Linked DNA regions of Caenorhabditis elegans. The protein of the gene in region 3 interacts with the protein of the main gene of each other region in a pairwise test. Each region holds a gene or a part of one and is shown on either strand. Other genes may lie near its edges. The genes, in order: rpl-3, spp-24 and aap-1.

Region 1 (3,757 bases), on a different chromosome or scaffold from region 3:
AAGACGATGTTTACTGGTGTACTGCCGATTGTGGATGGATCACCGGACACTCGTACCTTCTTTATGGACCTTTGATGAATGGGCTCAAGGGAATTTGGTATGAAGGTGTGCCGACTTATCCGACTCCTTCTAGAATGTGGGATGTCACTGATAAGTATGGTGTGACCAAGCTGTATACCTCACCAACAGCCGCAAGAGCTCTTATGGCTCTCGGAAATCAGTGGCTTGAAAGGTAATAATTATTCAAAAATAATTGTTCAGCATCTTTATTTTTAATTTTCAGCTCTTCTCGCAAAACTCTCAAGGTTATCGGAACAGTTGGAGAGCCCATCAATCCTGCTGCATGGATGTGGTTGTACAAGCAAGTTGGACTTTCCAATGTATCCATTGTGGATACTTACTGGCAAACTGAAACTGGAGGACACATGATCACATGCCTTCCAGGAGCAACTCCAATGAAGCCAGGAGCAGCTGCAATGCCATTCTTCGGAGCATCTCCAGTTCTTTTGGATGCTGAAGGTCGTGTTATTGAAGGTCCGGGAGAAGGATCACTATGCTTTGATCGTGCCTGGCCTGGAATGATGCGTGGAATCTATGGAGATGAGCAACGCTTTGTCAAGACCTATTTGGCTCCATTCAATGGATACTATTTCACTGGAGATGGTGCCAGACGTGATGAAGATGGATACTTGTGGATAACTGGACGTGTTGATGATTTGATGAATGTCAGTGGTCATCTTCTGTCTACTGCTGAAATTGAATCAGCTCTTGTGGCTCATGAGAAAGTTGCTGAAGCTGCCGTTGTTGCTGCTCCACATGACATCAAGGGATCCTTCCCATACGCATTCGTCACTTTGAATGTTGGAGAGAGAATCAATGAAAAGCTTGTGGCTGAGCTCAAGAAACTAGTTCGCGAGAAAATTGGTGCATTGGCTGTTCCAGATGTTATCCAAGAAGCTCCAGGACTTCCAAAAACTCGTTCCGGCAAGGTTACCAGAAGAATCTTGAGAAAGATTGCTGAAGGATCCGAAAGTGGAATCGGTGATACTACTACTCTAGTCGACGAATCTGTCATCAAACAACTAATCTCTGGACGTTCTGCACGTGCATAAACGAACTTGAACAATTGTAAATCAATTCAATTCTTACTATTAATGTTACTTTTTCTGTATTACTTCTCTTTTCCCCCTCTATCGTTGTAATTTCTGCAGAATCAATGCAAGATCTAAACTTTTAACCCCAACATGACCTTCTTTGTAATCAAGATGCATTCCCTGATTGACTCCTGTGTAGAATTAAATTCCAGTGTTGTAATTTCCCCCAGTAATTTATTGAACCCTGAATTCGAAATTAGAAAACAAGTAAATGATTCAGAACTGATTAATTGTTTTAACTCAATTTCAGATTTTCAGATAACAATTTTGGCTTATTCGGATAATTAAAACACGAAACATGAAATTACAAGAAGAAGATTAAATACTTACATGGAGAAATGCATTTCATATGCCCAGTGAATCTGATGTTTAGCTCAATTTTTATGAATTATGATAAAAACCACGAAAGTTCAATACAAAATAATATTTGATTTAACTTGCATTGCAAAATTACAGGAAAATGAATTATTTTAAGCATAAAGTGTGTTGTTTTGATAGGCCGTTTGAACAAAGCAAATCGATTTTCTTGATTATATAATGATGCTTCAAAATAAAACTTGATTTACATGAATATTTCCCGTTAAAAAACAATGTATTTAAAAACATTATTATTTGCAGAATCTCTCCAACTGCGAAAGAAATCGAATTCAAACAACCGCGCTTGTCGTACACTTGTACACTCCGCCGCCACAGCTACGGTAAAAGCGTGTTTTGCGACGCACAAGTGTGCGCCGAGTGTGTGGGTCTCCCAACGCCTTTCACTGGCCTAAACTTCATTTCAATTTGTTTTAGCCTAAAATTTTCATGTTTTTTTCGAATAAATTTTGTTTTTTTACGTGCAATTCTAAATTTAAAATGTTCAAATTAGTATCTGTCTAGAAAAGTAGTTATTTAAAAAATTTTTTAACCGAAAACGCAATTTTTATTCTTTGTTCGCTCATGCTTTTTCTATAATTTTTTCGTAAAATTAATATTTTTCAGGGTACAACAATGTCTCACCGAAAGTTTTCGGCCCCGAGACATGGACACATGGGATTCACCCCAAAGAAGCGCTCCCGCACTTACCGTGGAAGAATCAAGGCTTTCCCAAAGGATGACAAGAGCAAGCCAATCCATTTGACCGCTTTCCTCGGATACAAGGCCGGTATGACCCATATCGTCCGTGATGTCGATAAGCCAGGATCAAAGGTTAACAAGAAGGAGGTTGTCGAAGCCGTCACCATCGTCGAGACCCCACCAATGGTTATTGCTGGAGTTACCGGATACGTCGACACCCCACAAGGACCACGTGCTCTTACCACCATCTGGGCCGAGCACTTGTCCGAGGAAGCTCGTCGTCGCTTCTACAGCAACTGGTTAGTTTATTTTTCAACTATTTCGTTTTTTGTATTCAGTGTTATGGTGCGTTTTTGGTGTCATTTGGTGGTTTCGTGATTACAAGTCTGTATTTGCAGTCGCGTTTCTAAGTCGGTTGCCTTCCGCTGTACTTATGTACATGATGGTAAACGAACTGAGTGGCTAAAGCGTCCTGTACGCTGAAAGGCATTTTGTTCGTAATCGTAGAAACTACAGGGCTAAATCCAAGAAGAAGGCTTTCACCAAGTACGCCAAGAAGTGGCAAGATGAGGATGGAAAGAAGCTCATCGAGGCTGATTTCGCCAAGCTGAAGAAGTACTGCTCTTCTATCCGTGTGATCGCTCACACTCAGGTAATATTTATATTTAGTTTGTTTGTATTCTTAAGTTATATTTTGCAGATGAAGATCCTTCGCCGTCGCCAAAAGAAGGCTCACCTCGTCGAAATCCAAGTCAACGGAGGAACCATCGAGCAGAAGGTCGACTGGGCTCGCGAGCATCTCGAGAAACAAGTCCAGGTTGATACCGTCTTCGCTCAGGATGAGATGATTGACACCATCGGAGTTACCAGAGGTCACGGATTCAAGGGAGTCACCAGCAGATGGCACACCAAGAAGCTTCCTCGCAAGACGCACAAGGGTCTCCGCAAGGTCGCCTGTATTGGAGCTTGGCATCCATCTCGTGTCGCCTTCACTGTCGCTCGTGCTGGACAAAAGGGATTCCATCACCGTACCATCATCAACAACAAGATCTACCGTATTGGAAAGTCTGCTCTCACTGAGGAAGGAAAGAACAACGGATCCACCGAGTTCGATCTTACCCAGAAGACCATCACCCCAATGGTTCGTTTTATTTTTTTCACCGTTCTATGAAGAAAAAGTCTGCAATTCGTACTCTGTATGGCGACTATATTTTATCTGAGAACATCGGGCGTTGTAATCAATTTTCATGAATTTTTAATAATTGTTTTGTTTTAGGGAGGATTCCCAAGATACGGTATCGTCAACCAGGACTACATCATGCTTCGTGGAGCCGTTCTCGGACCAAAGAAGCGTCTTATCACCCTCCGCAAGTCGCTCATCACCCAAACCAAGAGAGTCGCCCACGAGAAGATCAACCTCAAGTGGATCGACACCAGTTCCAAGACCGGACACGGTCGCTTCCAAACCACAGCCGAGAAGCGTGCTTTCATGGGAAAACTCAAGAGAGATTTCCTTGCCGAGGCCGAAGCTAAGGCTTAAATTTGTT
Region 2 (3,242 bases), on a different chromosome or scaffold from region 3:
CAACATATTTCACGCGCAAAATATCTCGTAGCGAAAACTACAGTAATCCTTTAAATGACAACTTTAGCGCTTGTGTCGATTTACGGGCTCGAATGGATTGAAATAATTTTTTTATCGATAAAATATTAAAATCACGCTAAACATGAGAAAATTATGCAAAGAAACGAATGAAAAAGAAATATCGCTGTCACTAGTCAAAAAAAAGATTTAATTTCAAAAAATCGAGCGCGTAAATCGCCACCAGCGCTACAGTAGTCATTTAAAGAATTACTGTGGTTTTCGCTACGAGATATTTTGCGCGTCAAATATGTTGTGCAGTACGCATTCTCAGAATTTTGTGTTCATGTTATGATAAACCGAAATCTGGAAAATATTATTAAATGGCTCTCCTCTGATTACGAAAATCTAAGTGAAAAAATTCACAAAATTTCCCTGATGTTATTTCTCAGACAATGTGAGTATTAAACTACTGAATACTAAAAAAAAAAATTTTTTTTGGTTGCACAAGGTTTTTTTTTGCGAAAAGTATTTTACATTTATGGAGTCACAACTAGTGCGTCATAATAATATTACTGAAATTTTCGAATAGATTCCGATTTTGTCTCAAAAGATTACAATTTCATTTCTAAATATTGCGAAAGTGCAAAAAACTCTACAAAGACTTCGGTTTTATCTCAAAAGATTACTATTACGGCAACAATAAATCATGAGAATGCGTACTTGGTGCATTTTATTTGACGCGCGATATCTCTTAGCGAAAACTACAGTAAGAGCTTAAATATCTATTGTTATTTGAGTTCTTACTGTAGTTTTCGCTAAGAGATATCGCGCGTCAAATAAAATGCACCAAGTACGCATTCTCATGATTTATTGTTGCCGTAACAGTTAACGTTAACTGTACAATTCAAAAATAGCAAGACCAATTTGGAAATTTTGTATGAAATTGTTTACAGTTATAATTTGTCTCTCACGGCTTCATTTATAAAAATAGAAAATTCTCAAAAGACTCCACCTTTAATAATTTTCAATTCGACTTTTACATTTTAGACATGGTGCATCGTGACAATAACAATGTGTGCTCTCAACTTACCATATTTTACGCGCAAAATTGAATTTTTAAATGGAAAAGAACATGTTTTATTTAATTTTACGCGGGAAAAGACTACCAAGTTTTAGGTTTTTTGGAACAAATAATTTTCAATTGAAGTTTTTTTGCTTTCTAGAGCCCTGTTAATTAAAAAATATATTGAAAAGTTTTCCTGTGGTATTTGGCTAATTTTGACTGTAAGTTGACACCCTTTTTCCCGCCGTGGAAATTTTATAGATAATGATTCCAAAGTTAGGAATTGGCCGATTTTGTTAAACTCGCCCGTACACTCCTGGCTCAAATGTTTAGTTCCGTGTTCAGCACGGAGGTCTTTGCGGATGGAACAATTTGCATGTTCAATTCAATTGTACCAGCATTCGATGCTTATGTTTTTCAGTTGTTTGAAATACTCAGACCTCATTGTGGTTTAACCCACCATTCCTAAGATGACCTTCGTGATGTCAATTTGCGTAGATTATCCCCTTCTTAATACTCTTCTTTGTTTTCAGTTCTCTTGTCATTCTCGGTCTCTTCCATTTCTAATTATCGGCTTTCAGGCTCCACCCATTTGGTTTTCAAAAGACAATCATTCAGAAAACTGGGAGATATGCTCGTAAAGTTTTTGTGCTTAGTGTTACCAGTGTATAGTATTCCAATTGCCCCATCTTTTAAGGACTTACAGGTGAGTTAATACAAATGATTGTATTTTCAACAAAGTTATGAGTAGTAATCTCAAAGTTAGAAGGCTTGTGTAGATATGTCACAGATTGCACTCTATTAAATTATATACACCGTATTTCCTCTATTACTCTTACATGCAAGATTATTATCAATCGGTTTGTAGGGGGTGCCAGACTAATAGAGGAAATACGGTATTCAAAAATAACGAGCTTTGTCTTGTTCTGAAGTTACAAGCTTTGAGCTAAACGCGCAGTAGGATATGAGAAAAAAGTAAAGTGTTACAGACAATAAAACCGGACTACAAATTAATAAAGTATACATTTTCACGTGATAATGAAACCGATGTCATGAGTCCGGATCCTCCGAGTCTTCAACTTATTCCACTGGATTTTCTTTGCGAATTCTGCCAAGTTGTGATTTTGAAGCTCAAAGAACGGCAAAAAACAGAAACCAATTTTGAAGAGGTTGTTAAGTATAATCTCAGTAAAGAAAACCTTATTTTTGTTCAGACAATCAAAAAAGAATGCCTAAATTCGACAGATGATTCGAGTAGCTTGTGTGATGTGATAAATAGAGTGAATCTGGAACGACTGAAAAAAGGAGATCCAAAGGATATATGTGAAAGTCAGGGAATGTGCAATGGGTCTACTGGCACGACAACTAAAGACAATGGACCGCCTGGTGTGTCACCTAATCAGAGTATGGGAACCCCTGCAAAGCCTGCAAATGAGATAGAACGACATTTAACAATCGATGAAAAATCTGTGAATGCAACGTTAAATGTTGAAGACATAGCTCCTTATAATTAATATATGTGTGTTTTTTTTAAAATATAAATAAACACAAAATTGAGCATAGTTTGAAAAATTACACTATAAAAAGGAATTTCTAAATGGAAAAATTCAGCGTTGCATGCACACCAAATTTTCCAAAATTTTGGTGATTACTAATTTGCCAACACCCGTATTTTTCAACGGAAAGCAAAACATAGGCAGTAGGTAGGCACGTACACAGGAAAATAGAAATATCATCACAAAGTGCTGTAGAACTATGATGCTTCAAAAATGTTCTTTAAAAATGTTGTCCCGAATTCATAGTAGTTCAAAGTACTGAAAAATGCCGCATGACTTTTTATTTATCGCATAATGCTTTTAAATATTCAACAGTTTGTATTTATAATTTTGTGAATTCCCTTTCATTTTGGCAAAATTCTCATTTTTGAAAATAAGTTGTTATTGTTCGGTGTTTCGGTTTCTTTTATTTGTGTTTCTGTTCAGTTTTCATGTTTTATTTCTTTTGTGAAGTCGCCGATTATAACATACAACAATAGAACATAGGAAGAAGAAATGTTATTAAAACTGATGAGTGAACCAATGTCTTTAGTTTTCATTTTATTGATATTATATATTTCTACACATTGCACCCAGTGCAAGATTTTGAAAAGTTTCAATGTTTCAATACCTTCATCCAATAA
Region 3 (3,757 bases):
CGTTCTTTCTCTCAGCAGCAACGACGATTCCTTCCGATGAGAGAATGCCGAGGCAAGTTCCAGCATGGCTGATAGCCTCCATAGCATATTCGACTTGATACAGTCTTCCCTCCGGAGAGAAGATGGTCGTTCTACTATCGTAACGACGGGCCATTCTCTGAAAATATAAAGATAATCTAGACAAATATGATTTTAAAATATAAACGGCAGAAACCTATAGAAAAATTACATAAAACAAGAAGAATCTCTCAGTCCTCGACAAAAAGGATGACTTGAAAATTTTTTCGCGCATGAGCGCATTTGCATTTTTGTATTTCTCGGCCGTGGCCGAACTTATTTGTTTTCAAGTTGTCAACGTTTATTTTTATTTTTTTATCTAATTTTGTCAAAACATCAATGAAATGGCGTATATTTCTGAAAATGAGCTGAAATTTCTACGACTTCTCGAGCGAACAAAGCGCTTGACAAAAGAGGATATGTCAGCAAACGTTTGGAAAGCAAGTATCACATTTTAAGTTCTGTTTAATTAATTATTTTTCTTATTTCAGGTTTCTGCAGCTACAAAGATTCTCAATAAAATGATTTATACACTTCAAAACGATGAGTGAGTTTTTCAAAATACATTTTTTAATATTTATAGTTTTACTTTTCCAGAACCACAAATGATATTCTCCACGAGTACCGACAGGAAGTCTTGCAACTGAAATTACTCGCTGAAGCTGAAAGCAAGGTTTGTAGATATTTTAGACAAGCAAATTCGATCTTGTAATTTTGCTTTAAAGATACAAATTTTTACATAATTTCTAAACTTAATTTGAATTTGTTTGATTTGTTTCAATTAAAAATTTAATCCTAAAATATTATGCAAATGTTCCGTAGATTTTATGTCCCTCTTTTCAATTTAGATTTAAGTAAAGAAAACAAGTTGAACAGCTTTAAATATTTTGTGAATTTCGCAACTGTTATGAAATTGTCAGTAAGTTTTCCAGTCGTCAGCCGAGGAGCGCCTGAAAGTGATTGAAAAAATTCCACGTGTATTTCCCGATGTCCAAGTAACTGTTGCAGACTCCAAGAATGGTTTTTGAATTATTCAATATTTCATTTTAATGTTTATATTGCAGATAACGAGGCGGAAAGTTACGATTTTGAAAAAGAATCCGCAGCTGGACTCCGAGCTACTCAACGATCCATCTATCGATCAGATCTTCGGAAGCAGTTGCTTTCATCTAATAAACATAGAGCACAAGACACATCTGGTAAAAATTAGTATCCAATGATTGTTCAAAATTCGTCAAATTTTATAGAAGATCAGGAATTCATGAAAAATGAGCTTGTCGAGGAGGAGCTAGCAAATAGTTTGGCCACTATGGCGAGATCATTCAAAACGATGATGTCGGCTGCTGGAGATGTGATTAAAGAAGATACAGAAAGAGCAATATTAATGGCGAAAGAAGTCGATGATAATAAAACAGCTCTCGGGGTAATTTCTTCACTATATAAACTTCAAATAATAGTCTTAAAATTTCCAGATTCAAAGTGAGCGAGTTGAGCGTCACGCCTACAAATGTGGTTATGACTGTTTCAAGGTCATGCTCATTGTTCTGATTTTTATGAGCTTCGTATCAATGGTTCTTATGATGAAAATTTTCAAAAAAGCGAGCACTTAATAGTCGGGACGAATTGCTAGTATTTATGGGTGTAAATATTTCAAATAAAATTATTTAATTATTTGCATTCTTCGAATTTTTTTTCTCGTTGATATTTCCATTGGTCTACAGACCATGTTATACATACTTTTTTTGTTGGTTTTTTTTGGTGTTTTCACAAATTTCAATGCTTTGCTTTTTGGTCTCGGCTTGGTCTTGTGCCAGATTTAGTCTACTTCGGCAAAAACACCACAGATTCTTCTCCTCCGTTAATTATATATATATATATATATATAAGGATTCAGAATGAGCACAACACCTGGAACTCCTCATGGAGTCACTCATAGTCTTATGGAACAAGGATGGTACTGGGCTGATGCTGATAGATCTGCAGTTTCGAAAGCACTTTCTGATCAACCTGATGGATCATTTATTGTGAGAAATGCTAGTACACCTGGAGATTATACACTTTCTGTGAAGTGGGTTTTTCAAAATTAGTATTCAATATTAATAGTCCTTTTTTCAGATTTGCCGCCCAAGTGAAACTTCTCCGAATCGTTGTTAAAGATGGAAAATGCGGATTCAATACAGATTCATTAACTCACGATTCTGTTGTCAGATTAATTGAATTTCATCGAAATATTTCTCTCAATATTTTCAATGATGCACTTGATGTTCGTCTTTTATATCCAGTTTCTGTTCGTCGTAACTCTCAAAATGGAAAACCATTTTTCAAGAAGGGGCAACTTCAGCAGCGTATGATTCTCAGTGCAAAAAATGATCATGGTAAATTATTTTATAACGCAAACGCTAAATTTAAAAATACTGTAATTTCAAACTTTAATTGCTGCGGAATTTCTCTTGTCGTTTCAAGACCTCGTACCATATTTTTATCGCGAAAGTGGCAAAATTTCGCGTCTGAGTGATTGAAAAAAATAAAAATTAGTAAATTTAATGCTTTTTTTAGATTGGAGAGAACGCTTGGAAATGGAAAATTTGAGAGCAGTACATTTGGCATTTGAGAGAGGAGCCAAGCTATATGATTCAGCTCATCAAGAAATGGAACGAGCTGAAAGTCTCTATCATGCTTTGAATCAATCAGTTCGGGACAATGAGATTAAACTTGGAAAACTGAATAATTTGTTAGAAGCTGAAACAGACGTCGTTACACAAATACAGGGATCGCAGACAACAAGTGAAATGCTCAAAGGAGCATTTGCAAATAATAAGACAGTAAGCGTTTTTTGAAGAAAAAAAACATCCAAAACCAAAAAAAAACAATTCTAAAGCAAAAAAAAGAAGTTCAATTTAAAATTGTTATTTAGCCAAAACTCAATATTTTCAAAGCTGGATTATTAATTTTTGCTCAATTTTTTTCTCGGTTTTTTAAAAATGATTTTAGAGCAAATCCTCAATTTTTAACCATTATAGTTTTGAATTTTATCTTTTTTATTTTGCAGTTTGTGGAAGAAAGTATTCGACGAATAAACACTGAACTGACGTCATCAAAGGATAAGAAAAAGACGCTCTCCGGAATTTTGGATGAAATCGCGATGAAAAGATCCAATTCAAAAACACGACTCTGCAAGCTTATGGAACTTCGTAGTGCAGTCTATGATAAAATGGAACCAGCACTTTGTTCGAGAATGGCTGCAATGCTTGATGCTGGAGCGGAAATGATAAACAGTGAGCCAACGAAAGTCACTCAACTTCTTGTCGATATGGAATTGAAGTGGACACCGGCACAATATTTGATGTGTGGAACTTCTAAGGAAAATGCTGCGAATGCTCTGATTCATGCTCGCTATCGGATCGCTCAACTTGACAAGGCTGTTGGATTGAAAAGAGAGCCACAAGATGGTATTTTCTTGATTCGAGGATCCTCTTCTCATGTTAGTTTATGATTTTATCAGAAGAATAACTTTTCATCCTCATTCACGCTAATTTTTGAATTGAATTGAATATTTTTCAGGGTGATAAGCTCGTATTGAGTGTACTTCACGGAGAACGTGTCTCACATTGTCTAATCGAACAAAACGAAGAAGGATGGGGATTCGAGCACAGCAATGTCTACCTGACAACTATAAGTGACTTCGTTCGCTATTACTCTC

Evidence for each region.
Region 1: the proteins of aap-1 (region 3) and rpl-3 interact in a two-hybrid assay, tested with the Caenorhabditis elegans proteins (one large-scale study listed by BioGRID).
Region 2: the proteins of aap-1 (region 3) and spp-24 interact in a two-hybrid assay, tested with the Caenorhabditis elegans proteins (one large-scale study listed by BioGRID).

What each region holds. Positions count from the first base shown.
Region 1 is NC_003281.10:3,865,719-3,869,475, forward strand, and holds the start of rpl-3 (Large ribosomal subunit protein uL3), read left to right. Parts: upstream 1-2,135; 5' UTR 2,136-2,144; coding exon 2,145-2,509; exon of another isoform or gene 2,510-2,511; intron 2,512-2,610; exon of another isoform or gene 2,611-2,726; coding exon 2,727-2,862; exon of another isoform or gene 2,863-2,864; intron 2,865-2,910; coding exon 2,911-3,351; exon of another isoform or gene 3,352-3,353; intron 3,354-3,486; coding exon 3,487-3,750; 3' UTR 3,751-3,757. Other genes in the region: acs-19 (Acetyl-coenzyme A synthetase), read left to right, coding at 1-232, 284-1,112. UniProt on the Caenorhabditis elegans protein: The L3 protein is a component of the large subunit of cytoplasmic ribosomes.
Region 2 is NC_003280.10:37,940-41,181, reverse strand, and holds spp-24 (Saposin B-type domain-containing protein), read left to right. Parts: upstream 1-1,644; 5' UTR 1,645-1,694; coding exon 1,695-1,769; intron 1,770-2,052; coding exon 2,053-2,232; intron 2,233-2,277; coding exon 2,278-2,577; 3' UTR 2,578-2,624; downstream 2,625-3,242.
Region 3 is NC_003279.8:5,105,892-5,109,648, forward strand, and holds the start of aap-1 (SH2 domain-containing protein), read left to right. Parts: upstream 1-1,951; 5' UTR 1,952-1,952; coding exon 1,953-2,125; intron 2,126-2,172; coding exon 2,173-2,432; intron 2,433-2,613; coding exon 2,614-2,879; intron 2,880-3,106; coding exon 3,107-3,538; intron 3,539-3,618; coding exon 3,619-3,757. Other genes in the region: pas-3 (Proteasome subunit alpha type-4), read right to left, coding at 1-154; use-1 (Vesicle transport protein USE1), read left to right, coding at 402-497, 549-604, 655-730, 990-1,077, 1,122-1,256, 1,305-1,480, 1,530-1,667.